Yarrowia lipolytica: one gene and its partner. The protein of the gene in region 2 purifies or fractionates together with the protein of the main gene of each other region. This does not show direct contact. Links are inferred from orthologs where the notes say so. Each region holds a gene or a part of one and is shown on either strand. Other genes may lie near its edges. The genes, in order: YALI1_C30795g and YALI1_F08635g.

Region 1 (17,514 bases), on a different chromosome or scaffold from region 2:
GGCTTTGAGGATGAGCCTCTTCAGTGAGTATGGAATTTGACAGTGGCGGCGAGCCAACTGCCGTTGAAACTGTGCATGATGAGATGAGATGAGATGGCTTTGGAGGTTTAACCCAGTGACCAGAGAAAGTGACTAAGCGTGTGGCTGTTGCAGCTCCTGCGTTGCTGGTTAATGGTGATTGGTGGTTACTGTTGACTGTTGGTGGTTACTGTTGACTGTTGCTGGTTACTGTTGACTGTTGACAAGAGTTGATGTTGGCTTGCCTAGAGCCCAGAATGCGTTCTCAGTTCAGAAAAATACTCCTTCCAAGCCCAAATGCTCTTCAGTCAATTTGTCCCACCACTGCCACCGCTACCTCTTTCGGTATAATGCTCCAGTCGGGCCTCGTAACATCCTATCACGCTAACACAGACTGTCCGCATCCACCCTTGCCGCGCTCATGGACTTCCAGAACGAGCAGGAGGAGCGGGAACAGAAGTTCGCCGAGCTCCACAAACAGGCAGAGGAGGACTTTGATAAGCTCTGCGACGGGTCCAAGGACATCCAGGACTTTGAGGAGGACTGGCAACTGTCGCAGTTCTGGTACAACAAGGCCACCGCCACCAAGCTGGCTCGAGAGCTCCTCGCCGGGGCCGATAAAGATACTGTTATTGCCATTGTCTCTGCGCCCTCCGTCTATGCTGCCATGAAGGCTCTTCCCGAGGAGGAGATCGTTACCCAGAACGTGTTTCTGCTAGAGTACGACGAGCGGTTCGGAGTGCTTGCTGGAAAGAAGCGATTCGTCCTCTACGACTTCAACAAGCCCCTGGTGCTGCCCAGCGAAATCAAAAACGTGTGCGATCGGGTTCTGGTCGACCCCCCGTTTCTGTCGGAGGAGTGCCAAACCAAGGCTGCCATGACCGCCCGTCTGCTGCTCAAGAAGCCTACTGCTCGCAACGACAAGTACAAGGCCATTGTCTGCACCGGCGAGCGAATGGCCAACGTCATCGCCAAGGTCTACCCCGACACCAAGGTCACCGACTTCCACCCCGAGCACGAGAAGGGTCTGTCCAACGAGTTCCGATGCTACGCCACCTACGAGGGCGCCGGCTGGAAATTTGTCTAGTTTATTTATTATCCATTTTTATGACGTAGTATTCTCTTGCCAATCACTAACGATTACGATTCTGATGACGAGTTCAACCACTCTGTTACAAGTCCGGGGTATCAAAACCGATTCGTGCCAGGTCGATTGGGATGCTTGGAACGACTTGAACGGCTGATATCGGAAGCCTGGAGACTAATGAAGAGGTTAGAAGAGATAAATATCATGAGTTGATTGACGACATCGAGATGCGAATGTTGGCTGGGTGTCTATTCTGCTTGGCCTTGGTCAGAGATGCTCTGCAGCAATTGTTTGGCTATGGAGAAGGGACAGAAGTTGAAAATCGAATTGAATTGACAATGGTCTGCTTGCTAATCAAGTTATCATTCCATTGCCATGTCCCTGTGACCAAGGGCTTATGGATCTTGTCTGCAGTTCTGGTTTCGTAGTAATCCAGCTGGTAATATTAGAAGAAAAAAAATTGGGCAGAAATTGATGGGGGAGAAGCCTGACAAGTTCATCATCATTCAAGGAGCCTCTTCTAGGCGTCATTGCAACTCGGGAATTGTTTGCGCTCCTGTTTGCGCTCCTGTTTGCGCTCCTGTTGATTAGTACTTGTATCACATCACATTGACACTATGATTAGTCAGCACGAGTGTCAGGATAGTTGCTGGAAATCGGACTATAAAAATAATTATTTTTTTTTATCAAAAATAACTATAAAACCTTTTAAAAATGGAATATAAATATAAATAACAAATCAATGTTGAAATACTCCAAATATCAACATAAAAAAATAATATTTCTACGTTCATTATTGTTGTTATTATTATTAAAATATTGTTGTTAAATTCAACTCAATTTAACCGCCAACTTAACCGCCCAAATTAACCTTTGGAGATGCCGCACCTGGGCAGACTAACAGCAAGCGTATATATTTGGGGAAACAAAAGGTCCATATGAATGGCCGATAAAGACAGAAATTGGACAAAGCAAAGCCGAGAATAGGGTCACGTGGCCTCCAGAATGCCGTAGATGTTTTTCAATTTCCCCTCTAGGTCACGTGAACCCCGTTTCGAGGCCCATCCCATTTCTCCTCTCTGGTCCGTATCCGAACTTTATCCATCTATCAGGCGGCAAGTCCAACATTTACGCATCATCATCTCCGCTCTGCACTCTTCTTTTACACAAACACCATGGGACAAGGCACTTCAGCTCCGCAACATCTGTCGGAGGACCAAGTGAGTCAGCTGTTTGCACAGCAATGCTACAAGACGCTGGAACCAATTGAGCTGTATGGGCTGAAGGACAACTTCAAGGCGACGGTATTACACCAAGACCACGGCGACCACGTGCGCATGACCGACGAGGAGTTTGCGGCTCTGCTGGGGATTCCGTCCGAGTTCAAGTCGGTCGAAAAGCTGCTCACCAACTCGGCCAAGTTCCTCGCCAACTTTCCGTTCATGGACACGAAGCCTCGAGAGGCGGGGTACTCGTTCAACGACCTGCTCAAGATCATCGTCTTCTACTCGGGCCGATACACGCAGGTGTTCAAGGAGTTTGATCCGCTCAAGCTGCTGTTTGTGTCGCTGCTGAAGCAGTGCGACGTGGCCAAGGAGGTGACTCTGTCGGAGGAGCCCAATCTGGAGTTTGACGGCGACTGGAAGTCGTTTGGGCCGGTCAAGCAGTTCTACGCCACCGACGTCAGCGAGCTAAAGTTCCCCCGCGACGAGTTCGTCGACTTTCTCACCTTCATGCTCGTCCTCTACGGCTTCGATCCGTCCAAGGGAACCGTCGCAAAACACATCAAGACGGTCGTGAGCCAGGACAAGACAGACACAAAGACGCTGTATGCCGATTGTCGAAAGTCCGCCCAGTGCATCTCCCGAGCATGTAATGGCGACATTGATCTTGTTCAATTCAGACATGCCTTTGACAAGGTGTGTCCCCATCTACTGGCTCCGGTAGGTCATCTTTTCGACCTGCTTCTCTACACATCGGCTCACTCGGAGAAGGAAGATAACGAACCAGTTGCTCCGCTCAATCCTCTGGGTTCCAACAGCACCTATCCAACCAAGCTGCTGAACCATGCCACGGTGGCCCAAATGGCGTCTTTCTGCCCCTTCCTCGGCAACGTGGAAAACCTGAAGACGTTGTACATGGGCCAGAAGGATGGTTTTGCACAGCGGTCTTTTGAATCCGGAACTTTTGGCTGGAGAGCCCCTTCGGTGCTGCTAGTGTCTGGATTGCGGCTCAACACAAACAACCAGTCTCTTAAACGAGCAAATACCTTTGATGAAAAGTACCCTCGGCTCAAGGGAGCTGTTGTTCCCGATGATGGTGAGAGCGAGGTGAAATTCGGATTCTATCTCGACGTTCCCTGGAGATCGTCTTCAAAGGAGACGTTTGGATCTTCCAAATGTTTTATTTTCCAGCTAGCCCCCACGCAGGATATTTTTGTGGGTGAAACCAACCCGTCCAACCACGCTTACTTTCTCAAGCACGACCCTGGAGGACTGGCCTTTGGTTCTCCTATCCCCAAGTCCATTGGTCGGTTCACCGGAGTGCAGGCACCTCAAGTGGTAGGAACCGTGTCTCTCACGCTAGACGATTCCCTGGAGTTTGGCAAGTTCCACCATGCTGGCAAGGGCGGCTCGTACGCGCCTTCCATCAATCGACCTGGAGAGCTGATGGACGAACGGTTCAAGGTGCGAAATGTGGAGGTGTGGGGTGTTGGAAACGACACGGACCTCGAGCACCAACGAAAGCGAATCGAGTGGGAGGAGCGAGAAGCAAGTTACAGACGGACCATCAACAAAAACAACATTGCAGAAGATCGAGCGTTTCTGGAGATGGCTGGTGTTATTGGCGGAGCAAACCGGTCTGGTGGGTCCATGTAGGGTGTGAGGTGGGCAGGTTAAGGCGTCTACTGGAGCTGGATGTTTCAACGCTTCATATAGCCATGGTATATGTGAGTTGATTTGCAGATTGAAAGTTGAGGTTCCCTCTACAGTTGTGGGTAGGGTCGACGTGAAGAGAAGGGCACTTTTAGGGGCCATTGCGACTTTTGATTGTCTGAAATATACGGCAACTGTTGTTCTATACTTTTGATTCAAAGACACTCCTTTCGGATACAACTGGTGTTTGTTGAGATGTTTGGGCTCGGGTTATGTCAGAAGTTCAACGTTTTTGTATATTGGCTTAGTCATAAGACGAGGAAGGAGAGGAGTTGTGGCGGGGTTGTATTGCTGAGTACGATGACGATGATGTCGACATGGTGTGTGAGGTGGATATTCGTGGATATTCGTCGTGTTTGGTAGTTAAACCGTCTTCAGGGGTTTACTTACTCTTTAGTTAGTATTTAGTTGGGACTAGTTGGGGACCAGCACGCCAGCAGGTTGACCAAAACAGCTGAGTGAAGTTGTCCCTCAGTATGAAGACAACTTTCGATACCTATTCCAAAGGCTTTTTGATACGTGCTATGTTTGTTCAGTTGACGATGTCTTGATACCAGCTCTGACAAGACACTTATGCTAACAGTACAGTAAATACTTGTACAAGTAGTTGACACTGACGACTACAGCGAACAGATTTCACCAGTCCTGAAGACTTGTCAAGTTTCCTTGAGTCTTCAGGAGGAGTGGAGTCGTCGGTAGAGTCTTCAGAGGCGGTGGGGTCGTCGGTGGAGTCTTCAGAGGTGGTGGGGTAGTCAGTCGAGTGTACATCGACGTTCGAATCAGTCTACCTAGACAATCCACCGTTAGTCAAGCAATTGACCTTGATGTACCGTCACTCCCTAATAACTATAGAAAATACTAGGATGAAGTTCTCCGGCCAACTGCTGTTTCTCCTTGGGCCACGATCGGAACTTTTGACGGTACTTTTCCGTTCGCTTGTACCTGTTGTCAGCCCAGATGGCGGCAAAATAGACCGCGAGGAGCACGGTGGAAAAGGCGGTAAAGGCCAGACACACGTCGAGCGCGGTTGGATAGGTGGGCGCCTCGTTTGCCTCGAAGATAAACGTCGAAATGAACCCCGCCGTGTTTCCGAAACCAATCTGCCAGCCCGACGCAATGGCCTTTCGGTGGTGTCCCGAGAAGTTCATTTGAGTCCAGCACACCAGAATTGGCATGGCCGTGTATGTTCCTGCGCATATCATGAACAGCGAGCCGTATCGGATGCCGATATGTTTTGTTTGTCCCATGAGAAGTCCAAATCCCGCCACCGCGACGATTCCCGCAAAGAAGGCAAACGCAAACCGGTGTCGAAAGTGGTCGGAAAACGCCGCCGACACCATGGAGAAGCCAAATCCCGCCACCCAGGGCGGCACCGAGTACAGTTGGGTCATGACCGGCGAGTATCCCAAACCCTTGACGATGGCGGTGCCAAAGTAGGCGTATCCATAGGCCGGAACAATGTATCCAAAGTACAGGAGTCCGGAGATCCAGACCTTCCAGTCGGAGAAGACAAACGCCAGGTCTTTGCGAGTCATGGAACGTTCGTATTCCGACACTCCGGCGTTTCCAATCTCCAGTTTCTCCTTGATGAAGTCCCGTTCGTTCTGTTTGAGAAACCGCGCCTCCTCGGGGAAGTCCGCCAGGCAAAAAATCATGAGAATTCCAATGGTAGCTGTGCACGCTCCTTCGATGATAAAGATCCATTGCCACGATCGAATGCCTCTGTCGTGGTCCAGGTTGTGGATACCAGCGGCAATGAGGCCACCGAACGCTCCGGCCAGGGTGGTGGACGAGAAGAAGAAGGAGTATCGTTTCTGGGCCTCCTCTCGGCGATACCACATGGACAGCAGGTAGAAGCAGCCCGGAAACATGCCTGCTTCGAACAGCCCGAGCAGAAATCGGGTGGCCAGCAGTTGTCCGTAGGTTCGAACAAACCCCTGACCCAGGAGACAGACTCCAAACAGAGTCATACACCCCGTCAACCAGACATGGGGCTTGAACTTCTTCATGAGCCAATTGGAAGGAATCTCGGCAATGACGTAGGGCACAAAGAAGATGGCCAGAGCGGTGTTGAACTTGTTGCCGGTCATATTCAGATCCTCGGACATGCCATAAACATTGGCATTGGAAACGTTGACTCGGTCCAGAAACGCCAGGACATAGAGTAGACAAGTCAGGGGAACGACGCAGATGTCGATTTTCAACATGAGTTTGCGATGGTTGACGTTATGTTTGATGGCCAGTTGTTTGATTCTGTCGTTGATTTCCTCTTGCGACGGCGGAGGGGGGAATTCGTCCATCTGGGGAATTATCTGGGGATCCACCTGGAGATCCATCTGGTTGATCTCTTCAACCTGAGGGCTGAACTGAGGAGAGTCACTGGACCCTGTCTCATGGCCGAGCTCCGCCTTTTCTTCGCGGTTGGTCTCGATTTGCGTCATCTCTGGCAAAGGAGGCGTTTGCTGGTCCACTTGCCATGCGAACATCTGCTGGCCAACTCTTTATAGCTGGATCGACCGTCTTCAGGTTGAGGGGTAGGTCTAGACCCGAGGGGTAGTGGGGTGGGTGGGGGATGGAGGGGGACATAAAGTCCGGATGTAGAGACACATGGGGAACATGGAGGAAGTCGGAGAGTTGATAGAGGCCAAGTAAACCCGGTTTAAAGGGTGATTTGCAACTGTTGGCAGCTTTTGAAGTTCCGTTTTCCCTGTCCAAGGCTCCCAACATGTCTCCACCTCTCACCCCACATCATCCGTGCTAAATGCTAGTCTGGTTTGAACAAGTGCTATCATAACAAATCTGCGGCTATCGAGGTATTCTAGCATGCACCAATGAGTGGTATTGTCGGCGTGCCATTGGTAGGTCGATGGATAAGGAGAGAGACGGAGACAGATGGGCTGCGGAGAGTGGATGGAGACAGATGGACGACGGGGAGTATAGGAGAGGGCTTGTGGGAAAAACCAAAGGACTAGCCCAATTGTCGATTTCTGAGCGGCCAAAATTACTCTACATTCGAGCATACTAAGGAGTCTTGGAATTGGCGTCGGAATTGGCGTCGGAATTGGCGTCGGAATTGACGTCAGGATAACGGGTTTCTGTTTTGCTCTGAAGTCAGACGTACAAGATAGTTGAACTGTTACTGCTGAAATCCAGTTGTCGACAAGTTCTTTATCACCATGGTCGATTCATTAACCATCCTCCAACTGATCGCTAACAGCGATAAGGGATGTTTGAAGGGGCTTCGTCATCCAGGGCCCATTCTCATATTCCCACCCGCCCGCAGATTTACTTAGCTTTACTTAGCTTTAGTTGACACCTACCAAGACCGCCAGTTCAAACCTCGCCAAACCCCTGGGGGGCACACGCTTCAAAAGTGTGTATCTTTGACATCTGGAACAGCCGAAACAGCCCCCTTGTCTAAAGAGCTCACCCAGCACGGATTGCGGCCCACGAATCCACCTTGTCAACCCTACATCTATACATTTGCCGAAGTTGCTATAATCTGTGACAACTCTGATAAGATCCCCAGATCGGTGTTTGAAACTGGTCTGACCGGTGCAAATATGGCGGGAAAACGGAAAAAATGCGTCCAGGAGACTCGCCACAGACACGAGATGTCTTCAAACCACCCCCTAACTTTCCATCTCGAGGAAAACCCATTTTATCGTCCCGTTTCTTCTCTTCCTTGGAACTCTACCTCCGATTAGCCTTGCAGAAGGGGCTATTATTTCGTCTTGAATTTCTCGCCAAAGTGGAGTCTATTATTATGCCCAGCAGCAGTGCTTGGAAGCTCCACTGTCTGGGCCCGGTCATGGAGCCCTCGGCTCCGTCTTCCGCTGCCCTCTCGGACTGTGACGACCGCAAACCACTCTACCGCTGCCTGCAATCGTCATTTCAGGCCGCTCGAAGCGTTCTGGATAGTCGTGGTCCAGAGGGCGACTCTACTTTCAAGTACTCCGAAAGGAGCTCATGCGATTCAAAGAAGCTCTGGGCATTGACGAACCACATCTCTGGTAAACGTGTGTCATTACCAATGTCTCTGATATGCTCCTCCAATAGGGCGGCTTGTGTGAGATCCTGCACATCAAACACGTTTACCCACTTCAAACGTCTCTAGCACAGCGTGGGTGGCGTTATCTGTGGTGTCTCGTGACGACTATTCGCGACTAGATGCGCGTGACATCCTCCAGAGTCCGATCAAGACAATGAGAACCCGAGGTCAATATCTCCTGATATGACCCTAAAATTGAATGTTCCTATGTTTGCGCGTGGCACTCGTGCTCCTGGCGTTTTGGGCACTTTTTTAAGTAATACCCGCCAATTCCCCACATGATCATGAGAGGAACCAGCTGGTTGTAAAGAAGTTGTTCCTGTAGATGGTGTATCTGATGATTTATCTGATGGTGTATCCGGTGGCGTGTCTGGTGGTATATCTGCTCATCTAGAATCTCTCTCTGGTGAATGAGTAAGCACTCTTCTAGCGCGTGCTACGTGGGGAAGTGAGTTGTAAGTGGTTATGTTGACTATATCGAAACAATCGTACTTTTCTCATTTTTTGTAACATATACTATATAAAACAAATACGATAAAATAAAGAATAGTATAAAATAAATGAATACTGTAAAATAAAAAAAATACTATAAAATAAAAAAATACTATAAAATAAAAAAAATACAAAAAAAATAGAAAAAAAAATATGTTTTTGCATACTAGAGACTTTTTGCTTCTCCTCGAACCAGTCGCCTTTGGTGGTATATTCCAGTAGATGGTTTGCCCGCTTATATAACCAAAGTGCAAAAATCGGATAGATATATTCATATAATTTTTATGTTTTTGGTAGTACTATTTTTTTTTTGCATCAAACAACATTTTTCTCAGATAGTCCAAGTAATTTTGTTGATTGGTTAAGTATTTGTACAGTAATTGTACAGTATTGAAATGAGTTCCCATCATTTGGACCAAGTGAGAACGGATTGAAAATAACACTGTATCATCACGTGAAGAGGTCGTGAAAACTTCTTAAGAAGGCTGAAACTAACGTCTACCGGGCAGAGTTTCTCTTTTCGTCTATCATTTCTGGATTTTAACAATACATAATCTATAGGTTGGGTACTGGGTGTAGGAGTAAAGTACAGTCAACAGATCCAGCATGTTCAGACTCAAGAAGGCGCCGGTATCGAATTGCCGTCGACAAGGTCGTTGCACATCTCCAGCGACAACTCGTCACCACTACAACGCCAATTAATGTTTACCCTTGGACTTGGAAATCAGCTTCTTCTTGGTGGCCTTCTTCATCTTCTCCTTGCGCTTCTCCTTCTGAGCCTCCTTGACTGCCGCCTTTCGCTCCTTTTTAGCATCCTTGTCTTCAAACTTCTTGCCCAGTTTCGAGGTCAGGGCCTTTTTCTCCTGGAACCGCCGTTCGCGCTCCTCCGAGTCAATCGACGAAATGCTCTCGTTGTCAGACTCGCTTTCCGAGCCCATCTCTTGGTCTTCTTCCTCGTCCTTCTTGCCAATGAGCGACGAGTAGATGAGATCCTTGCCCTGGCCGGCATTGACCATTTCCACGTCTCGCTCGACGTCATAGACCTGGTCGAGGTTCTGGGGAATGTAGACCGACCGGAACACGGCGTCATCGGCCTCTATTTGGTCCGTGGACTCTTCAATGGGCATCGCTTGGATATATGCGGTGAGCGAGTCGACTGTTTCCTCCATTCGTTTTTTCGCCTCTGCAGGGCCAGACATGGTAGCAGAAGTGTCACAGACAGTAGTGGAGTCATCGATTACGGAAACTTTGTCATCCTTGTGTTCATCCTTGTCTTCGCCCTTGTCTTCACTCTTATCATCTTCAGCCTTATCGTCACTCTTGTCTCCAGTCGTTTTGTCGCCCTTTTCACCATCCTTTTCATCCACCTCCACCAACTCCCGGGAACTAACGGAGATCTCGTCGGTGATTTTGATGTCTTCCAGAAACGGGCTGGTAATGAGATGGAAGAGTGTTCTCTCGGGAAACACGCTGACTCCATGTTTCCGGAAATAATCATTGCAATTCTTGATATCCATTCTCAGAAACTCCAGAGAATGAGGATGATCGTGTTCAACCGACTGCGAAACGTCGATAATGTACAACTTGCGCTCATGGTACAGAATGTTGTACTCAGACAAATCGGCGTGGACTAGCCGACACTTCTGATACATGATTCGCATGTACGCACACAACTGATGATACAGAGCAGTGTATTCCTCGGCAGGGTTGGCAAAGAGCTCGGAGATTTTGGCATCTCGCAACCGGGGACTGGGCCATCCCTTTTTGTCGCCCAGAAACCCCATCACCAGAACATGAAGATGTAAATGAAGAGGTTCCGGACACGGGATTCCGGCGGTATGCAATCTCTTGAGGTTTCGGATTTCCTTTTCAGCCCATACCTTGACCATTTTGCGCGGATTGTGGCGCGAATAGCCATGTCTGAACCGGTATTCTCCACTCACATATCGATCTCGGTCCTTGAACACCAGAATTGACGTCTTGTAGATCTTGATGGCACGATGAACGCCCTCCTCGGTGCACGCATGGTACACGTTGGCTTCTTTGCCGGTGGAAACGCACCCGTTGACCTCGAAAATAATTCCTCGGTTGATCATTTTGAACAGAATCATTCGGGTCCGGGGATCCAGAACCTGCTCATTAGTGGCTCGATCAGCCCGGTCTTTGGTGGCGGTCCCCATGAGAGCAGAATTGCCACCTGTCTGAGATCCACCTCCAGACGACTTTTTCTTGCCCTTCACCTGCCCATCACGTGCAGCAAGCCCCTGATGAGTCAGTGAATCAAGATAGTCGTCGTCCATACGTAATCGGCCCGTGTACTTGCTGAGGTCGCTGTCAGCGGTCTGTTGTGCCGGTTTTTCGCCTAAAACGCTTGCAACCACCTTCTTCTGCTTGTTGTACCGCTTAGTCACATTTCCCGAGGTGATTTCCTCTTCGTAGTCGTCCTCCACGATTTCGTCTTCCTCCTCTTCGTCCTCGTCAATAAGGTCCTCATAATCGACAGTGACCCCGTCAAGCTCCTTGTAATCGGGATCTGTCGAGGGCAGCAGTGTCGAAGATGCTCCGCTCGAAATTTCGCGTTCCCAGTCCATGTTGTTGTCCTTCTAGATGCGTTGGTGTGCACAGAAAATAAGTGATGTAGAATTTTTTAAAAAAAAGAGGTTATGCACGATCAAAGGTTATTTGGGGAATTAATAAATGTAATTTGAATTTCAATATAGGAAAAAATCGGAAAATCAGAAAAATTGTCACATGGAACGGTAAACATGTCAAGTGAGGTATATAGATGAGTGGGGGTATCACTTGATCTAAAAATCATTGGGGCTGGAGATATTGTCTAGATATACTTCCATTTTTTTCTAGATGTGGCGATACATTAATCAAAGAATAGTTGGGGAATTCGATTTTAAATAATACTTAAAATTAAAAGAAATACAAATTGTGAGGAATGGATGATGATTCAGAAAATTCAACAACCCAACCCAACCATCAATGTATATGTAAGAGTGTCAGTTGTTTAGCAATTTTCAATATTCTGGAATTTTCAGCTCCAGAGTTCTCAGATGTATCAGTTCTCTTTCAGTAATTAAGAAAAAAAAAAAGAAAAAAAAACAAACCTCTTTTAAAATTATAAGATTTTCCAATCGACATTTATATTTTATTTATTAGGAGATTCACGATACATCTGTGAGCATTTTTCTACGCAAGAATCTGAATAAAATCTGTCGAAAATTCAACACTTGCGAGCCTACCTGCGTTTGCAAGAATCACCCTCGACTCAGTTTTTATGTGTTTTTTTTCCCCTACTTTTTTCTTCTTCATTTTCTAATTGTGCTTTTATTCGGAGAAAACTACTCTACAAATACAGTACTTCTCAACGGAAAATCAATTGAATAAATCAGTGGGCTTAGCACTTGCAAGCTCCCTCGCACTTGCAGGTCTCACACTTGCAATCGGGGTTCTTCTCGCACTCGCAAGCCTTGGTGCACTGGCAAGACTCGCACTTGCAAGGTCCGCAGGAGCACGACTTGGTGTCGCAGGCACAGTTGGTGCAGGGCTTGGTGCAGTGGCAGTTGGTAGAGCAGGCCATTTTGGTAGTTGGTGAGATTGTTCGGGTGGATTAAAAAAAAACGTCCGGCGGAGTTTTTCTTGAGCGACTGGTTAGATGGGTCTGGTGGTGATTGAGTCTCGGGTAATTGAGTCTCTGTCGATGATTGTCTGTGAAGATGTCAAAAGGACCATACCACCGCCCTATATATACTTGTAGGGATTATCGCTGCTCGGGTTGCCGTCATATGATTTCTTGTATTGCACTTTTGCATTCTGTCATTTTGGGTTTCTTTATCGTTTTCTTGATTGAATTAAACTTTTCAGACCAATGGCAAAATAGTCTCAAAAATAATAAAAAAATCGCCCAAAAAGAACCGACCCCAAAATGTCCGGATTCCGCCCAAAAAAAACCATTCGAACGCCCAGCAAAGAGGCAAAAATCACGTGACTCCAACGGTACCGCGAACGCCCTGTTTCCCTTCGGTTTCGCAGCCTAAAAACCGACAAAACCGCTTTCCCCTTTGCGCGCCGCCGCCCCACAATCAGAGTTCAGCAACAAAATCAAACGTGGCTAATACGACGATACAAAAAGATGATAAAATCTAATCGAAATCTCGAATCGGCCACAAAAACACAGCCAGAAATCAGATTAAGACCAAACAAACACCAAAAAATACTGCCGATTTTTGCCTCCAAAATGACCCCAAAAACAAGACAATTCAAACAACCACAAACACATCATAATCCCACTTCCTTCAACTTTGCCAGCAAACAAAACCTACTCCATTCTCCACATTCCTAGTCAAAAAAAGGACACCCAAAAGTTTGGTGGCAACGCCAAGAATTCTGGGCAGAGTCCTTTTCGCCATTGGATCACTCCAACCAATGGCGAAAAGGGCTCTGAGTTAGTCAACCGTAGATGAGTAAGCCGTGGAGTAGTAAGCCATACATTACTAAACCATACTTTACTAAGCCATAACCCATACTTTACAAGCCATAAATCAATAAGCCCTGGTGTTGCCACCGCAATTCCCGAACCACGATAACGCTTTCACATGCACCGCCTCCTGCAGTTGCCTCTAAACAGCACAATTCAGCTCTTGCCTGATATCAACAGGTTAGGGTATAGGGTAAGGGTATCGCAATCAACGTATCGCATTCTGGAATCCGAATCGACAGCAGGTATCGCATCTGCATCTGGGATATCAAAGAAATCACTGCGAAGGTCAGGTGGATGGGGCATGAGCGGTAACGGGCAAATGAAGTTTCCTTTTTTTACGCCACAGGTTATGACCAACAAAGGTTATGACCAAGGAAAACGCCTCCTGTATGCACGTTGATGCATGGGCGGCTGTCAGGTTATGAGTTGGGCAGTCGACAGGTTATGACCAACTTCCAAAGGTAGACAGGTTATGACCGACAGCCCTGCCCTGGCGGGCCACAGGTTATGACCAACTTCCAAAGGTAGACAGGTTATGACCGACACAGCCCTGCCCTGGCGGGCCAACAGGTTATGACCCAAACTCCCAAAGGTAGGACAGGTTATTGACCGACAGCCCTGCCCTGGCGGGCCCACAGGGTTATGACTTTGCAACCCCTTCAGGCCCACACAGTTTATGAACTTCCGCCCCCCCCCCCCCCCCAATCGACATTGGGAAAATGGCGAACGGCGAACGGCGAATATGTTGCAAGCATAACGGTGTATCAAAAGAATCGAGCGAATGGTACCAAATTGCTGAATAATGAGTATTTCCAATAATCAGTACAAGGAACCAACCTCTTATATGGCATAAGTGGTTCATTAAGAGTGGTTGGTTTAAGGTTTCGAATTGGGGACCTTGGAGGTTGCTGCACCTTTGATAGGGAGCAAGTTGAGGATATTCGTGGAGGCTTGGGGGTCACGTGCAGTCACGTGACCACATGAGATATGTTAGTTAAATGGTAATGGGTGCTCATTTTTGTGGTGTAATTTGTCTGTTTGATTTTGCGCTCTTTTTGATTTATTTATTTATTTTGATTTATTTTAGTTGTTAAAAGAAAATTAGGTTGTTTTTGTGGCTTGGATTTGAGGTTTTTACGAGATTTTGGGTTTGGAGATGAAAAAAGTGGAAGGTGAGATAAATCCAGATTATTTATTACGGGGATGTGGTTGGGGCAGGTTATGACCAGACTTTAGTGCGTTGAATTGAGTCTATCAAGGGATGAAAATTGAACAATACTAATACTACAATTGTGTGCCTCTGCGAATACACTGATATTTTAATTTTGCAATATAGAGAAAATTAACAGAAATATGTCTTTAGGTGTAATATGGGTTTGACGATACACTCCATTTGCTGTCGTGGTAAATTATGTTACCGAATACAACTTAGTCTGAAACTGTCCGGCAATGAAGAGGTTTAGTAAGACCAAACTTGATGGAGTTTATTAAGCAGTCCATGCATTGATTTGTAAACATTGGGGAACGTTCATTCACTTTTTGGAAACAGATGATTGTTCATAAGTCATAAGCAGCATATGAAGGGTAGATTGAGAGATTCAATAAAAAAGCTTTGGAAAAGTCCGATAGGAGCTCAAATTGTACATGTTACAGCTGTGGAGCATTCTCCTCGAGTCCCAAAAAGATTTTGGAAATTTTTCTGTCATTTGTTTATTTTTATTCATATTTTCGGTCAATAAAATCGTGTTGTAAGCATTTACAGTATTTAGTTGAGATGTCAAGTATGTAGTACTCAGAGCAAGTATCTCCAAAAACAAAACTCGAAATTCCTGTTCAAATTGGCTTACTAATGAACTGGTAAAAATGGAGACGAAAATTCATCAAAAAACCCCGTCTTAAGACCCCCCAAAACTGCACCCCCAGCGATGCGGCCTGGAAATGAATTAGAGTTGGTCACGTGAAGAAGTTTCCAATCCAGGCGCGGACCATGGAGGCCTGGTCAATTCGATGAGGAGTGGAGATATAGAGGAATTGATATTATCATTAGATTCTGGACGTCGGTTTATTTATTTCGGGATGTTTTTTCGATTGTTTTTGGTGTTTCTAAAAGGCAGATAGACTGGCTCTATCAAGTGTGTTTTATGATGACAGTGTGACTATTTTGCTGCTTTAGTCACTACAAGTTTCCGCAGTTTGGAGCAGATAGGCGGTATCTCTAGTATCTCCAGTGCATGATCCATACTATTCAGTTTATTACTATCGTGCTATAGCCATATGTTGTATTTTAATAGCTCTGGGGACTGGGTAGGGCTGTCAATTCACTGTTTAATAGTTACTCGCAATTATTCTTTCGATTTTCATTTTTTTCTATTTATTCTACGCAATTGAAGTCTTTGTTTGATTTAATCTGAAGTGTTTGAACTAATTAATCTGTAATAATCTAAATTCAACAGTTAATTCGTCTAAATATCAAAAATAATCTAAATAACAAAATAAACAAGTCAGTGTGGTCGAAAGGCGGTATATTCCGACATTTCTGTCGACTCCAAATCCTTGTCAACTTCACCATCTCACTAACTAGTTTCCAGTGGTCACCGTTAACTATTACCTCAATTCATTCACTAACTAAAGCCAACTAATCATTCACCCTTGAACTAAAGTCAACTAAAGAGATATAAAGCACTCTACAAAAGACCCCAAATGAAGAGACGAGAAAGAAAAAAAGAAAATCCTGTAGATTTCAACGTAGTTAATACGACTGAACAACTATTCAACCATTATTCGAACCCAAATGTTCATATTCAGTTCTATATATACCGTCTTATACCCTCACTTTATCCTGACTCAACCTCTTCCTCTCACTCAACCTCTCATTCTCACTCTCACTCAACCATCCCTAACCTCTCACTCTTCCTCTCACTCTTCCTCTCACTCTTCCTCGACCAACACCCGCAGCCCCCTGAGAAGGTCCCATCTGCCCGCGCTCAAGCTCAAAATCGCCTTCAACCGCCAGTATACTACGCCTTCATCTTGAAACAGATCTCGTACTGGAGAAGATGGCTGTCAGGTATTGAGGTCGAAACGACCGAGCTGGCCACTCGACAGCCACCCGACAGCCGACCGACTGCCACTCTCTGGTCAGTGCGATAGCTATCCCACTGCTCCTCAAGACTAACAACACCAGATGACGTCTCTGCTCTTGAGTCACTCGTCTGGTCAGAAACCCTGAGACAGCTATTCGCTTGAAGTGGCCATCGATAAGGTAGTCAAAAACAATGTGCAGTTGAAGCAGCGCCATCCAAGCTGATTTGGACTCCGATGCCGGAAAGGCTGCTCACAAAAGTTCCTACTAAAGAGGATTTGGAGCCTGGATGGAGGATCGTCGTAGTGGACGACAAGGACGGTTATGGGATCGAAGAAGAGCAGAAACTCGAAGGGGAGAAGGATGGTGACAGCAAGAGTGATGCCGAGGTTGAGTCCACGATAGACTACCGTACTCCAAGTTTGAGGCAGACTACCCCATTCCTCGAATGACCAACACGGTGGGGAAAGCAGCACCAAGAACCACGAAATCAAGATCCACACGTCGAGACCGGCGATACCAGGGCGCCGTTAGACGTCCTCAAGATCGGCCTAGAAAGTACCCTCTGGCTACAAAGGCCTAATTCATGTATTCATAGCATTTTCTTGGAGTTAAAGAGAGGAAGAACTCCATGACCAATTCGGCCACCCCAATGGTACCAATTCGATAATCCTAACGGTACCAAGGACCTTGCACTTCTCTCTCGTATGGCAACGTCTCCGTCTCCAGCCATCAGCTCCTCGTACTACAGGAATCAGGGGATCAGGGTAGTAGTGTGCCACAGCGAGTGGGCGTCGATGAGAAACTTCCATGGTGGGACATCACACAGCTGCAGGCCCATAGTGACCCAGAAGGTGACACGAGGTCAAATTGCACCGACCACTACGTTAACCCTCATGTTGTGTCCTGGGTCGAATTCGATGAAGGAAAGACACGAAACGCGAGCCAGGAAGAGCTTGACACAGACTGAGGCAAGAATGAGACGGGGGATTCTCTGAGGCAAGAATGAAGCCGGTATTTTCTCTGAAGTCTCGTCTGTCGGCCGAGAAGTAGTCAAGTTTCCCGGTCACGGGCCGCGGGCATGGAACATGGCGCTCCCGATCCATGAGTTCATTCCATCAGCGCAAAGCCGTTGTAGTGGGGGATGAGTGGGTCGGGTTTTCTCTGATTGAGGTACCGGAGGATCAGCCAGCGCCGGTAATGAGACATCAAGTCGTCCGAACCAAAGACTACCGACACTGATTCCTGGGAGGCTGGAGAGATAGACCGGAAATCACAGCCAACGGTGTCGGCAAGTCTGTCACTGTCAGTTATATACTGCCTACATAATGTGACTGCTACGATGACTTAAACCCTGGT
Region 2 (15,891 bases):
AGGCTCAGCAGCAGGAGCAGGGGTGGTGGAAGGAGCAGGAGAGACAGTCTCGGTGACCCAGACAGTGGACTCGTGGCCATCGGCGTCAGAGATGATCAGACCCATGGTAAAGAAGGGAGCCTGGATAGTCAGGTCCATGCCCTCAGCGGCCTCCTGGATCTCGTTGATCTCCTCGGGGGTGAACTCACGCTTTCGGTTGGGGTAAGCCACGCCCTGCTTCTCCTCCCAGATTCGGTGCAGCCACTCGGAGATGGTCTCGTTCTTGGTGCCGATGCCAAAGTCGGACAGGTCGGGGATCCACAGACCCATGGTGAAGAAGGGGGCCTGGATGGTGAGGTCCAGAGCCTCCTCGGCCTTCTCAGCGTCGGGGGCAGGGGTGGTCTGGGCAGCAAGGTGGTCATGGATGGCATCGTAAGCGGCAGACAGAACGGCAGAGGTGGCCTGCTCGCCGGCAGTGGCGTCGGGAATGGAGATGACCTGGGTGGTCTCGGCCCAGTCAAGAGTGATGAGCTCAGCAGCAGCCACAGCAGCAGTAAGGAGAACAGTAGAGAACTTCATTGTGGTGGGTAGAAAGGTGCGTGAAGAGTGTGACTGAGGACTTGTCTGGTGAGAATACCGGGACGGAGGTGACCCTTATATAACTCCAGAAACTCGAGATATTCCTTCACAACCACCTCTGTCGAACGTCTAGAGCTAGAATAACCTAATACAGCGTACCTTGCCGATCGCCTTCCGTCTAGAAGCAGCTAAAAAGTGCATAAAAATGGATTAGGAATAGCTCCGGCGATCTGAGGCGGCCTAGTCCGGGTACAGGCAACCACGGTGGTACCCTGAGGTCAGCTTCACGAAGGTATGCTGTGTGAAATGTGGTGTATTGTGTTGTGGTATCATTGTGAGGTATCCAAAGACAAGTTCAGGTAGTTGACAGGTACCTGCCAGTACAATAACAGTTCCACGGTGGGTTTTGGCTGGCAGTTGGCCAAACTAAGTTGAGCGTCGGGATCTTCGGTAATAAATGTCGATGAAAAAGAAAAGTAGCCGTGGAGAGCCAATTGTTAGCCCACTTTGCACGTGGAGGGAGGGCTTTGGCGATATACGGAGTGGCAAACAGAGACCATTGTTCTGGCAGAGGCCATTGTTCCGGTAGAGACCATGGTTCTGACGCTGAGTAAGGCCATATGTAAAAACAAACAAAAAACAAGCGATCCGAAGTGCATTGGAATTAGTTCAACGCCCGACTAACGTTTGCGACCAATTGCACCGTTCAATCCAATAGACCTTTCCATCTGTCCACTTTGCGTTTCTTTTTATCAGTGGCCAAATCGATGCGGGTACGTACCCGTCAGTGGTGCAGTGCTTGTAGCTGTGGTTATGGAGACGCATGAGGGCGGGACAAGCACCTGGCAAGCACCTGAAATGAAGATACTTTCATATACATCCCACACTCATGCTCTCGTGAACTGGAACAGTTATGTTTTGTAGGCTGCCGGGGACAGCCGTTCATTGAAAGGACCGCCACAATCGCTCCGACTAGGACGAGACCAGGCGCCGTTCTCTGCAGCTCCCTCTGCCAAAGCGATTGTTCGTCGACGGGTGAACAGCTGATTGGCGTCTTTCGGCGAGCTACTCCAGTGCAGATCTCCCTACAGTACTGTAGGTACTCCAGAGCCCACTTCGGTCACATGCAAGCTTCACCGGCGTGTGAGACGCCCGTACCCCTTGATCAGCTGCATCTAACGACTTGATTGGCGGTACAAGTGGAGTGGTGCTGAGTCTGAGGTGTTTGTGTCTGTAGATGCTGCGGTACCTGCTTCTGTGTCGGCACTGTTCGGTACCTGCTTGTATGTGTCAGTTGCTTTGTTGGTTGCTTTGTCAGTTGGGTTGAGTGTGAGTCAGTTGGTTGTGTTTGTGTCGAGTCTGTTTGCGTCGAGTCTGTTTGCGTCGAGTGTTTGCGTCTTTGGTCTCTCATGGCCGCTCTTTGGCCGCTCTTTGGCCGCTCTTTGGCCGCTCTTTGGCCGCCTGCTGTCGATTGCTAGCTCGTTGACCGGCACGAGCCATTAAGGCTCAGCGTATCCTTCAGAGGTTGATTTTATTTTCACTTTATGGGATTTACGGTTAACTACAGTGCAATTACGGGTAACTCTGTTTAGTTGGAGTTGCAAGTACTGTAGATATGGCTCAGATTGAAGGTGACCGTCAGCCGAACGGGGCCAAAACGCTTTAAAAGGGCGCTGAAAGGGAGCTTAAAGTGATAAAAACATACTTCCACAACCTCAAAAAACCTCCGCCCCCTCTCCAACCACTTTTACTGCTCTCCACAGCTTTGGCCACCCCCCTCAAAACCACATCCCCCCATTATCTATGCACCAAAGTTAGCTCGACGACGATCCGGCTGCTGCAGCTGAAAGTTGTGTCTTGCAAAAAGTAATAAATCACTCGCAGACAAGGAACAGACTATTCCAGTGTACGCACACACCACAGGAACCAGGCACAAGGGCCCCAGTCCAGGAACCAGGCACAATCTGGAGGTGGAGGAAGTGCATGCCAAGGCCAAAGTTGAGGATAGCGTGATTCACAGTGAGCTGTTGGAGGGTTGCGAGGTTCTCATCACGAGCGCGCCTACTCGCCTACTCGCCTACTCGCCTACTCGTCTACTCGCCTACTCGTCTACTCGTCTACTCATCTACTCATCTACTCGTCTCGTCTACTCGCCTACTCGTCTACTGTACTAAACACCGTCTACTTGGGTATCCAAACATGATCTCTCCATCCAAAAAGCTCTCCTCCAAGCACTAACGGGTTCTAGTTTTCACGATCCAGAGAAAGAAAAAGAAAAGACCGAGGACCATGTGGTTATTGATTTCTGCACCCGGCCCAAAAGGGCAGGGAAGATACCATACGGAGCCAAACTGAGGTCTATCGGCACAACGGGCCGCTGGAACCGTCTTAGATGGAGCAACCGTGGGGTGAGCCATTTGTGAGCGTTCAACAGTGGTGAGCAATGTTTTGATCAGGCCATGGAATATGTGCTTGCCATGACCGCTCACTCTTGTACGTGTACTCGTACGGGTTGTCCTCCACTGTAAGATTGCAGTAATGGCAGTGTGCAAAGTGCAAACTCAAGCATCTGGCTATCACAGTGCTGGGACGGTCCATCAACGCCAATCAGCCGTCTATCATGACTCGAGTGCCAATCCACGGCCAATCAACACAGCTGACTACTTCGGAGCCCGTCTTTTAGGGCAATCGGCGGCCAAGCAACATTAGGGTGTCTTCGGTACGAGTACGAGTCGGAGTATCGTGCAAGTAGTGTTTGGTATGGCTGTAAATATTGTAGCTTTCGAAGCGAGACTCGGCCTTTCAACTGAGACCCATTTGTTTTGGGAAAAAGTAATGAGCAGCTAGCGCAGAGACCGTGTGGAAACGGAGGCGAAGGACAGCCAATGTACAACTACGGTAGCTGAGACTGGGGCGAATTGTTAATTCGGTTTTATATTTAATCAAAATATGGGACTTTAAATTCCATTGAAAGAACTATAGCAAGACATTAGAGCGTTCAGCTGTGGCTGTAGTTCAAGTTTAGTAATACCAGGGAATCTGAAAGAAGTAGCGAAAACAGGGTCCATTCCGAGACCAAAGCTGAGGTAACTACTATTCATATACAGTACATACTGACTATCAACTCCATTTAGGCGGTTCTCCTTAATGGACGTCTTCTGACTCTAGATAGTTTTAATGAGTAACCATGAACATGAACCGAATGAGTACGTACAATCAAAACAGGTGTGAGCACTTTTTCGCACTGCATTTCAAAAGACAACTCAAGATTGACCTTTTACTCATCGAACCGAGCTATATTATGGAGTTCCGACCACTATAAAATGTGTATGGGGTGGCCTGGGTCGGACCGCTAGACACCAACTCGTCTACAGAATTCCGACATCTGACTGTAACTCGAGACATTACCAATCTCTGAATCGCCAGTATCCACATTACCAGACTTCAACCCATCGACCAAGACAACCGAAATACTGTGAGAAATACTGGAAACCAAAACCTGTTGCCGATCCAAGTACGATCTAATTATCTAGATACCGTAGGTAGATAGCAATGAAGAGACGTTGTTTGTAGTAGTATGGCAGCTCTACGACTGTCACTCTGCGACTCTCTAAGACTTCTTCTCCACGACGTCCCCTTTACAATATCCTCTCTCACCTGCGTACATTCGTCTCTTGGAATTTGCCAGACATCTATGATCGAGGGCTGGGCATGTTAGGAGGCAACAGCTATATTGATTTGGAGGCAATCTGCGTGAAATTGATGAGCCGGCGTCGAAAGATCTACAACACGTACAGTACGTAAGCATGGAAATGGCAAGAAGGCTCATCCGGACAAGCGAGAGCCCACTCTCGTCACGGGAAGTGAAAGCCGGAGGATGGAGATGCTTTAAGGAGTATATTGACGAAGAAGACAAGTGATTCCCAAGGTCCGTACCAGTCTTGACACAGTCAATTTGAGAGCCATTGTCTTGAACGAGATGGACTCATTCAGTCCACCCACAAGTTGATACCGCTATGTACTTGGATACTGTACTTGTAGACACTCTCCTCTAGGGTGCCACTGAATCGACCAAATTGCTGACAAATAAAGTCTTCAAGTGTGTATATATATTCCAAGGAGTCAAGTGGTTGGCTGGAAGGACTGGAGAATCTCACTTGTCAGTTTGCGAGTTTCCAGGTGGATGGTGAATTTGATATTTTATCCGGCCCAAGTGGGACTATACTTTCAATAAAATGAAAAAAATAAATGAAAGAAATAAAATAAATAAAGTGAAAAGAAATAAAAAGAAATAAAAATAGAATAAAACACTCAGCTAGATACGAATACAAAAGGCCCAACCGAGAGATCAGCTGGTACATCAAAACTACAAGTACAAGTACAAGTACAAGAACGACCCACTCGAGCTTTGCTCTCGTGTCAGCCAATACATTTACAATAAGCCCACACTCCGAGAGCACTTGAAACACCTTCGAGCTTTGCTCTCAAGGCTCTCAAGGCTCTCAGGGCTCTGAGGCTCTCAGTTCACAGTGTTCGCGTATGTCAATCATACAATACATATTTTTATTACCATGCAATCCCTTATCGCAGAGGAATGAACTTGGAGTTGGAGACACCGGGTCGGCCGTGTCGGGTGGGGGTGTAGGTGATGGAGAACTCACCGAGGTACATGCCGATCATCTCGGGCTTGATCTCAACGGTGGTGAAGGACTTTCCGTTGTAGACACCAACAACAGAGCCAATCATCTCGGGGAAGATGAGCATGTTTCGCAGGTGGGTCTTGACCACGGCGGGCTTCTCGTTGGGGCCGGCGGCGAGCTTGGCCTTTCGCAGCTTGTTGATGAGAATGGTAGGCTTCTTGTTGAGGCCTCGGTTGAACCGTCTTCGGGCTCGGGCGGAAACGAGCTCCTTGAACTCGTCGGTGGAGATCTCGAGCAGATCCTTGAGGTCAACGCCTCGGTAGGAGAACTTCTTGAAGGTTCGAGCCTTTCGGGATTCTGTGTTAGTTGGAACAGGGGAATTGGGCGTAAGCGTGTCATTTCAGATCATGTGGATCACAGAGGTCATATTGCGAGTGACATAGCTATGTCGTGTATCACAGAGGTCGTATCGCGGCTGAGATTCCTCATGCCACGTCGCGGATGACAATTATCATGCCACATCATCACACAGCTCCCGTTGCAGGTGACACCGCCCATACGGAGCCACGCCGTGGGCCACGCCGTGCAATCCTCCCTGTCATGCCACCGCAATGTCTCTGGGCGCCGTGTCGCACCAACCGTAATTCGACATGTCCTCCATACGCCGGTCTCGTTTATCGTCCATACGTACCAGCAGAAGCGTCAGCCATTTTTGTCGTTTGATGTGAGTAGGAAAAGACTTATTCAAAGTGTTGATAATCTTTTCGGTTGGGAGGAGTGAGTGGTTCCGTTTTGGAACTCCCAACACGTGATTCAGTTAGGGTTAGTAGGGTTGTGCACGGGAGAGGCGTGGTTTCCACTTCGGGACACCAAGCCACTCAAAAAGCTTATTTTCTGTCCGACCCACTCTTTTTTCAAAACCACATCTTTGAGATTTTTCCTTCACAAGAAATAGTCTGCTTCCAACAGCTTAAATTTGATTATTTACAAGTGAGTACGGCAGCCAGAGAGGTCTGGCGACGACGACAACCACGACAGCAACGACAAATTGGCGACGATTCTTACCTCGTGGTACTGTCATTGCAAACAGGATCGAAGACCGGTGGTGAAGTTCGATTTATTGTTTAACGACTGTTTGACGATTGATTGAGAAATGTTCCACAACTGTTCTGACTGTTCCAAGACTGTTTAATGACTGTTGGACTGTTCCAAGACTCATCTCGTTCACCTCGATCACCTCCTCCATACTAACCACAGTGAAGTACCTCGCCGCTTACCTCCTGCTTAACGCCGCTGGCAACACCTCTCCCTCCGCTGCCGACATCGAGAAGGTCATCTCTTCCGTCGGTATCGAGGTTGACTCCGAGCGAGTCGCCGCCCTTCTCAAGGACCTTGAGGGCAAGTCTGTTGACGAGCTCGTTGCCGAGGGTACCGAGAAGCTCGCTTCCGTTCCTTCCGGAGGTGCCGCCCCCGCTGCTGCTGGTGGTGCCGCCGCCGGCTCTTCCGACGCTCCCGCCGCCGAGGAGAAGGAGGAGGAGAAGGAGGAGTCCGACGACGACATGGGCTTCGGTCTGTTCGACTAAACGCTCTAGAATCTTGTCAGAGTCCAAAAATAAAAATGTACATCTTATGTTCTATTGGTTGTATGAGTGTGTATGATGCGATCGTGTTGTGTAGGTCAATGTATTTATTTTTTTAAATAATTCCATGATTTTTGGAATACCAAACCGAAGTTAGAAAAAATATAAAGTGAATTCATTGGATTCGATTTCCCGTCAATTTCAATCATTTCCCATCCTTTTTCAACTACTCGTACAAGTACTTGGGGGTCAATGTCATCCAGTTTGGTGCCATTTGTTCAAATTCAAATTCAACTTTTTCACCTTTCCAGCATATTCCAATCTATTCAATTAATTCAATTCCCATCAAGACATAGCAATCAGAAAACGAGCATGTACATACTCTACGTACCGTACATAGCATACTCGCAATACTCTGACTGTGTTGGACTTTTCGAGACACCCGAACGTCCACTAATCCTTGAACCTGATCACTCGGTCTACCGATCTCACTAATGACCTACAACTGCTCCACTATCCACTGCTGTCCATTGTGGAGTCATTGGTAGAGGACAGAGCGAATGGCCAACTACGATACCAACCGTACCGCACCGCACAGTACCTATTCACTAGATGCGGGACAAATAACTGGTGGTCAGTTTGCGACTGTCCGAGTGATGAGATCAATCATTATAGTACATACAGTACAGTACATACATGCTTTGATCAACTACTGGCGACCGATGTGGCAGAATATAGGTTTCTGACACAGTTCTACCCTCACAATCGTCTCCAATCCCACTGACTCACCAATTCTTTCCGTCGATTTGGAACCGCTTTTCAACTCGAACGGTGTCTGGAGCTCTCTCAGTCTCGCCTGTTCGGTTGTTGAAATTCCAGTGCTGGAACTGATCACGAGGATGCGTACTCGTTGATCGAATGGACCTCCGCAGCTGACCACACGTCCAACATGCCACCATTGGATGTGAATGGTGGATCCCTTTGAGTGAATCACCTTCCAGCCTTGAGTGAATGTCTCAATCCCACCAACCATCCGGTTGGAGAGAGTCCTAAAGAGTTGCTCACACTCTCTTGAGGAGTGGGTAGAGAACAGGGCCAAACCCATCTACTCAAGCGGATTTACCATTATGAATGGGAACAAGACTTTTCCGCTCAGAAAGACTCACAGAAAGACTCACAGAAAGACCCACAGAAAGATGAGAAGTAGCCTTGAGTCAGCTCATTGGGTATACTAAGCCATCAAATGAAGGAACTGTTCTCAGCCCAGTCACAAGTCCATGGAGTCCACGGCCGGTCTACGAGACGGTCAACTTCCAACACAGTGCGAGTTTTGATACTCTCGTCGACATCAATCAGCAATAGAAGCCCTTTTCCTGGTGAACTCGTCTTCTGAGAACGTACATACCGAACCTGTATTACCGCCGTATGTACTGTCTAGTGATAGCTGTATGCGTCGTTGCGCTGCTAGAATGACCGCTGAAAAGCATCTGGCTAACCAACAAAAACAGTACAGTACTCCAATCAGGTCAGTCATCTTTCGAAAGCACTTGCTGGTCCTCGAGTCAAGTATGTACACTGGTCTTCACAAACGGGTCCTGACAAGTACAGACTCTCCAGCTGATCTAGTCAAACTTGGCGGAAATTGTACTGGCGCCTTGACTGTCTCGACTGTAGCTGTTCTACCAGGAAAGGGCTTTCAGCGATTAGAACCGTCCCTGGGCCGGCTCTCAAATCGGGGACACCTTCATCCATCCATTACAACCCTACATACACATCGTTACTATTCATATATTTGCTGATCAACCTACAACTTGTCAGGATCGACTCTGCCGGAGTTGACGACATTCTGCTTAAAGGCTAGATTGTCGTCCAGCTTGTGCTCGGCCTTGTTGCCGATATGGGAGGGCTGTAGATCGTGGGTTCGCTGCTGCTTCTGGGAGGTGGTGGACGCGGCGGGAATCGGGTTCTCGGAGTAGGTGGGCACAACTGATCCGCCCTCAACCGCCTCCTTCTTGGTCTCGAGCACGCCGTCCAGAGTCCGTTCGGCCTTGCTGCTGAGATGAGAAGGCTGCAGATCGTGGGTGATGGGCTCCTTGTGGGAGGTGGACGCGGCAGGGATCGTGGCGCTGGTGAACTCCTTCTTTTCGTCTTGTTGGAAGGGGTTCAAAGAAGCGCCAGAGGTGCCAGAAGAACGAGTACCATGCTTGGAGGTGGAATTGGCCAATGGCTGGGAAGGAACGGCTCGAGAATGACCATGGGAATCGACAGGAGACACCTTGCCGTCCTCAATAATATCGTGCTTTCGCTCGACAGCAGAGTTCAACTTATCGTAGGCCTTGTTGCTAAGATGCGAGGGCTGCAGATCATGTTGTCTAGGCTGGTTCTGGGAAGTGGTGGAGGCTGCGGGGATGGGGTTTTCCGCATAAGTGGGCACCACAGAACCTCCCGAAACAGCCTCCTTCTTGGTTTCCAGAGTATGCTCCAGTTTGTTCTCGGCAGCATGGCTCAGATGAGAGGGCCGCAGGTCATGGGTGACGCGCTCCTTGTGGGAGGTGGAAGCTGCCGGAATGGTGGCGGTGGTGTACTCGTCCTTCTCGTCATTCTGGAACTTGCTCAAGGGAGGAGCATGGGAGGTCTGAGAAGAAGTCACATCTCGAGAAGGAACGGCTCGTGACTGACCCGTGGCATCAATGGGATCGACCAGACCGTTGTCCACCGCCTGCTGTTTCACGTCCAGCACGTTTTCAATCTTGTCGGCCTGCTTGTGGGTCAGATGAGAGGGAAGCAGATCGTGGGTGACGGGCTGATTCTGGGAGGTGGTGGAAGCGGCAGGAATGGTGGCAGAGGTGAATTCGGCCTTCTCGTCCCGTTGGATTGACTCCAGAGTAGGCGGAGCATTGTGGGCCAAACCACTCTTGTCCACGTGACCCTGTCCGTAGGCATCCTGGGGGTCCACCAGGCCGCCCTGAACAGCCTCGTGTTTGGCCTCGAGAGTGTCTTCCAACTTGGTAGCATCTCGGTTGGAGAGATGTGACGGCTTGAGATCGTGGTCAGCGTGCTTGGAGGTCTTGTTGTGGTGGCCAGAAACAAGTCCCTGGGGCACAGACGAGTCTGTGGCTGCAATCGGATCCACCAGACCTCCCGCTACCGCCTCTCGCTTGGTCTCCAGAGTCTCGTCCAGCTTATGGGCAGCCTTGGGGTCCAGATGCGACGGTTTAAGATCATGGGTGACCTTTTCGTCGGCTGCTCCGGGGAAAGCTCCGGGAATGTTCTGGGTGTGATTGTCCAGGTCGCCCTCGGCAAAAATGAGCACGTTGTTGAGATTCCCCTGGGGATCTTTCTCGGTGGGAACGCCGTCATCGACCTTCCAGACTCCGTCCACGTAGAACTTGTACACCGTCTTCTCCTTGGGCAACTTGACGGTTTTGGCAAACCCCTTGGGGGTCTTGTCCAGCTTGACGGACTTGGACCAGTTGTCAAAGGTGCCAGAAACAACCACCTCCGAGCCGCCATACGGCCATTCAAAAGTGTACTCGACCATGTTGATTGATTTGATTGATGTAATAGAGTGAATTGAAGAAGACGTTCTCTCTCTCTCTCTCTATCACTCACTTGCGGTCTCACTCCAGGACAAGTAGCAATACCCTCTTGCCCATAAGCTCGGATTGATATGCCAGATAGCAATGTTCAAACAAGGGTTAAACGCGGGTCATATGGGTCGAAAAAGGACTCATTGGGGTCTACTTCTCCGTGCAAACACAAATAACCAACTCGCGTGTCTTCATCCTTCTTACTTGGCCAATTGACAACGGTTCTCTGTCCCACAGCAAGATTCAGGCGGTATCGATATGCCGCATGATGCAGGAAGGCCTAGCACCAGTATGCGATGAGGTCAATGGTGTACAATTGGCGATGAGGCATCTGAAGGCCGAGATGAGTCTGAAGGCGTAGATGTTGATTTGACAGACAGAACAAAGCTTTCATTTCTGCCAAGTTGGTTAATTTCAAAATTTCGAATAAAATCACAATAAATACCAATATTGGTTTTCGAAACTTCCTGTGAATTTAAACGTTTTTTTTTTAAAAAATAACCCAACTGGCCCGATATAGCGGTTGTGAGTGATATCTCTGTGTTTGCAGTTGTCATTTAGGCCTTGACAAAATTCACCAAAGAGCAAGTGCTACAAATACGTGTACTATCGTATCGTTCTTTACCCACACTCTTACCTTCTCATAAGTCACGTGCTGTTGGAGAAGAACACGTGACATCAACAAATACCAGCCCCTCCATCCTTCGTGCCATCACGTGACCAGACACCTTCCGTGCCAACTTTCTTGTCGTGTTCCAGAAGAATGTGGCAATGTGGGAAAAGTATGACGTCACCTGAACAGGGTGTTTGGGTGTTTGGTGATGTCTCGACGTCTGGGGCGCTCTGTTTGTGTTACTAGATCTGTGGTCTTTTTGCAACGTTTTTGTCCCCTCCCTCGGACCCCAATGGATTCTCCACTTGTAGTATTCACTCTACTCTACCATATCGCCATCTCTTGCCCCTAATATGGTATGTCTTGAATTGATAATGCACTGAAGGAGGTCGGAGAAGCGTCTTCTGAGACGATATCTGTACGACAAAAGGAGGATATTATTACATCATTCGACTCAAAAATCAGCGCTGGTTTGAATGGTATCATAATATCCACCTCTTATAGTACAAAAATGTTGCGTTAGTTGTAGATTTTTGCGTCCTTTTTTTTTTTTTTTTTTCTTCTTTTCTTCGATCTGGAAGAAGATGCGTTCGTAAAAAATAGTGCAGGGCTAAAGTGGCTATCAGCGGTTATAGGCCGGAGGGTGACTGGTACGATACGAGTACGAGTACAAGTACAAGTACGTGCCCATACCAGGCCCTAGACCAAAATATGTGGGCTAGTATGCTGACAAATCACGCAATAAGCCGTCTTTGTCGCCCCATATTCGCCAATATGCCCCATTGCACAATGGTTGCCCCGGATGTCTGGCCCTCGTTAAACTTGGTTCGTTGTTGGTCAGCTTTGTCCGCCAAGTCCGCGTCACCGAAACCGAGCCGGCCAAAAGACACACGGCATACAGCAGACACTTTTCTAGGGGGAAGGGACAAGGAGGAGGGGGAAGGGACAAGCAGGAGTATATATGCGGTGGGGATGGTCACATGACATGCGACACAAACCACAGACTCACCACACCATGCCACGCCACGCCACGCCACACAAACACACACACACACACACACACAGAGGTAACACACACAAACACAGTCGCACTGTGGCTTGCGCAAAGTTCAACGGTTCGATTCCTAGAATCGTCCATTCTGTGGTCGACACGAGACGCATTGAAAGACGGTCTAAAAGATCTAAAAGACTGGGATTTCGGGTGGAATTGCCGCGGGCATGTCGGGAGACTTTTGGATCACGTGATATGGCGCCATTTTTTGTGTTACGCCGCGTCCACTGTACGAGGTACATTCGAAGCACACGGAAGGAGGTGCAACAAACAACCAACCAACCAACCAAAAAAAAAAAAAAACCAAACCAAACTATAATTTTTTCGAACTCTGCCGCATACATATAACCACAGCGAGCCAGTGTAACCATCGTCTCTTTCTCTTCTCTTTCTCTTTCTCCTCAACAACCCCCCTTTTCTCCCTCTCACCCTTTCACACAAACACAAGCACAAAATGTCTGGATTCGGAACTCTCGCAGTGCACGCTGGTGCCCCCCACGACAAGACCACCGGAGCTGTCATCCCCGCCATCTCTCTGTCCACCACCTTTGCCCAGAGCGCCGCCGCTAAGCCCGTGGGCGAGTACGAGTACTCGCGATCGGCCAACCCCAACCGTGACGGCTTCGAGCAGGCCATTGCTGCTCTGGAGAAGGGCAAGTACGGCCTGGCGTTCTCGTCTGGCTCTGCTGCCACAGCCACCATTCTGCAGTCTCTGGCTCAGGGCTCCCACGTGGTGTCCATTGGCGACGTGTACGGAGGCACTCACCGATACTTCTCCAAGGTGGCCAATGCTCACGGAGTCGAAACCACCTTCTCCAACGCCGTGGAGGACGAGCTGGCCTCTCTGATCCGGCCCGAGACCCGTCTGGTCTGGATCGAGTCTCCTTCCAACCCCACCCTCACCGTCACCGACATTGCCAAGGTCGCCGGCATCGTCAAGCAGGCCAACGAGGGCCGATCCGCCGACGAGCAGGTCTTCCTGGTTGTCGACAACACCTTCATGTCTCCTTACGTCCAGAACCCCCTGACTCTGGGCGCTGACATTGTGGTCCACTCTGTCACCAAGTACATCAACGGCCACTCCGACGTGGTCATGGGTGTTGCTGCCACCAACTCCGACGCCATCCACGAGAAGCTGCGGTTCCTGCAGAACGCCATTGGTGCTGTTCCCTCTCCCTTCGACTCGTGGCTCGCCCACCGAGGTGTCAAGACTCTCCACATCCGAGTCGGAACCGCCTCCAACAACGCCCAGGCCATTGCCGAGTTCCTGGAGAAGTCTCCTCTCGTCGAGGCCGTCAACTACCCTGGCCTCGAGTCCAACCCCCGACGAGAGGTTGTAAAGCGACAGCACCGAAACGGTCTTGGCGGAGGCATGATCTCCTTCCGAATCAAGGGAGGAGCCGAGTCTGCCAACAAGTTCTGCCAGAACACCAAGATCTTCACTCTGGCCGAGTCTCTGGGAGGCATTGAGTCTCTGTGCGAGGTCCCCGCCGCCATGACCCACGCCGGCATCGACGTCAAGGCCCGAGAGGCCTCCGGTGTCTTTGACAACCTCGTCCGACTGTCTGTTGGAATCGAGGACAAGGAGGATCTGCTCAAGGATGTTGAGCAGGCTCTTCAGTCTGCCGCTTCTCAGTAAGCGACTGGTGCTAACCCATCCCCACTCTGTTTTCAACACTATAGAGTGTGTAATATAGACTAGAATGTGATATTTATAACATGTGAGCGGAGCGAGCAATGATGGCAACTGTACCGGTACACGAACTTGTAGAATTGTCGTATCGTATCCAGACGAATGTCTCCTTTCACAGGATGGATGTAGGCCAGATATGTAGGAAACCTATGAGTGCTGTGAACCTGCTATGAACCAATTGGTGAATCGTACGCCGAGTCTGGAGATCACAGTGGTATAATGATATCGAAGTATTGTCTTACTAATATGCTGAGGTATCGCTGATATGGTGCATCTCGAGATGTTAGTATAAATGCTATACGCTACAAGTACCGGTACTCGTACGGTATTCGTACTGGTGGCTCTCGCTTCAGTACAGCTTGCTGCCATATAATACACCATATATTACAATAAATTATGAGTCTGCCGTCTAACTGTAGAAACGACTGTAGCACTGTTGCTGTGAGTATGAGACATGGTCTTGAACCACTCTTGAACCACTCTTGAACCACTCCTGAACCACATTAGTATGCCTTTCTTAGCATTGATTGGAACATCGCGACAGTAAGATCAAATGAGATCTCTTGTGCGCTGTAGCTAGTAGCAATTGGGCGACGCCTCGTCACTCGTGCTCCTCCTCCCTCTTCTGATACATATACGGCGGTGGCAACACCTGCCCATACATCTGAGGATGTCCGTACATGGTCTGCGGCGGAGGCAGAAGATTGCCACCCTGGTAATACGGCACAGCAGGGTACTGGTACCCTCCGTATATTGGCGGTCCCTGATGGTACATGGGATGCTGCATCATGAGAGGCGCGCCTAGTGGCAGAGGCATGTGTTGCTGCTCGTGTCCGTTGAGTCTGTGTTGACCCATGGGAGGCGGCGTGGGCTGATGCTGATGCTGCTGCTGCTGCTGCTGCTGTGGAGGTGGTGGGGGAGGTTGGTGCTGTTGCTGTGGAGTCTGCTGGTGAACCTGCTGCTGGGCAGTCTGTGGAGGCGGAGGCTGTTGCTGTGGCACCTGTTGAAGAGGCGCAGGTTGCACACCCATAGGTTGCATGATTCCCGGAGGCACGGGGAAGGCTGCATGAGGAACAGGAGGCCGCTGGAGCCCCAGAGCCGTCAGATCCTCGTTGGTCTCGTCCTCCGTTGCCTGAGAAATCACAGGCGCAGCAGGGAAACCAACGTACTTGGATATTCCAGACAAGAGCGAAATCTCGTTCACCTGAGCGTTCCGCTGATGAATCTGCTCGCTCTTGCTTTCAGGGATAGTGTAGCCGTAGTCGGGAACCATGAGATCCATGGCCCGTCTCTCCCGGTTGACTCTATACCACTCTTCGGTCGTCTTGAGCAACAAGCCGCTTCGGGCGTCACCCTGATCCTTGAGAAACTGCTGGTGAATCTGCACACGCGACGCACGTGTCTGGTTGTTGATGCACTGCAGCTTGTATTTGCGACGCGTCTTGGCCAGTTTGATCTTGTCGTCACGCATCTTGGAGATCTGCTCGTAGACCGCATGCAGCTCGGGATGTGTGCCCTTGACACAGAGCCCCATTTCCACCTCAAACGCCGCCAGCTTCTCCTTGAACATAAAGTCGCGGAGCTTGGCGAAATCGACCTCGATCTCGGCGAGAGACGTCATGGCCGCAGGCCGCATGTCGACCTTGTCTGCGTCTGCGGGAGAGTCTTCCTTGTCATTGTCGTCGCCTTCGCCTTCCTCGTCGCCCTCGTCTTCCACCTCCTTTTCCTCGTCTTCGTCTTCGTCTTCGTCTTCGTCTTCGTCTTCATTCTCCTCCTTGTCCTTGTCCTCCTTGGTCACCTCCTCCTCTTTATCTTCCTCGTGTTCATTGTCGGAGGGCTCAGTCTGGTTGATGGGCGTAGGCATATCCTTGGTTTCGTTGGCGTCCTTATTGTCGACATCAGCCGTTTCTGATTCCTTGAGCCCCTCCTTGGCCTCGGCCTCCTTAGACTCATCCACAGCCTCTCCTTCCTTCTCAGAGATATGATTCACCTCAGGCTTGATGTCCTCAACAGGCACGGGCAAGGGAGGCGGTACTTCCTCGAGAGCCGAGGCAATGGCACTGGCAGTGATGAGCCCGGTGTCAGGACCCACATCTCCACCTTCTCCTTCTGCCTTGGCTGTGGTATCCACATCCATTCGGGCCGTTGTGTCTTCTTCTCCAATGT

The links.
Region 1: the proteins of YALI1_F08635g (region 2) and YALI1_C30795g purify together in Saccharomyces cerevisiae (affinity purification with mass spectrometry; 3 studies listed by BioGRID). This does not show direct contact. The link is inferred for Yarrowia lipolytica from reciprocal best matches to the Saccharomyces cerevisiae genes RPS15 and RIO1.

What each region holds. Positions count from the first base shown.
Region 1 is NC_090772.1:3,068,377-3,085,890, forward strand, and holds YALI1_C30795g (uncharacterized protein), read right to left. Parts: upstream 11,176-17,514; coding exon 9,283-11,175; downstream 1-9,282. Other genes in the region: YALI1_C30683g (uncharacterized protein), read left to right, coding at 1-23, 412-1,105; YALI1_C30706g (uncharacterized protein), read left to right, coding at 2,281-3,984; YALI1_C30726g (uncharacterized protein), read left to right, coding at 4,237-4,403, 4,501-4,585, 4,668-4,793; YALI1_C30749g (uncharacterized protein), read right to left, coding at 4,881-6,527; YALI1_C30760g (uncharacterized protein), read left to right, coding at 7,625-8,158. UniProt on the Saccharomyces cerevisiae protein: Required for the final endonucleolytic cleavage at site D converting 20S pre-rRNA into the mature 18S rRNA. Required for the final steps of cytoplasmic maturation of the 40S ribosomal subunit.
Region 2 is NC_090775.1:858,031-873,921, forward strand, and holds YALI1_F08635g (uncharacterized protein), read right to left. Parts: upstream 5,884-15,891; coding exon 5,838-5,883; intron 5,556-5,837; coding exon 5,140-5,555; downstream 1-5,139. Other genes in the region: YALI1_F08585g (uncharacterized protein), read right to left, coding at 1-558; YALI1_F08590g (uncharacterized protein), read right to left, coding at 799-984, 1,065-1,217; YALI1_F08597g (uncharacterized protein), read right to left, coding at 1,370-1,672, 1,739-1,969; YALI1_F08603g (uncharacterized protein), read left to right, coding at 2,362-2,371, 2,443-2,732; YALI1_F08650g (uncharacterized protein), read left to right, coding at 7,031-7,273; YALI1_F08683g (uncharacterized protein), read right to left, coding at 8,583-10,319; YALI1_F08705g (uncharacterized protein), read left to right, coding at 12,487-13,671; YALI1_F08745g (uncharacterized protein), read right to left, coding at 14,327-15,891. UniProt on the Saccharomyces cerevisiae protein: Component of the ribosome, a large ribonucleoprotein complex responsible for the synthesis of proteins in the cell.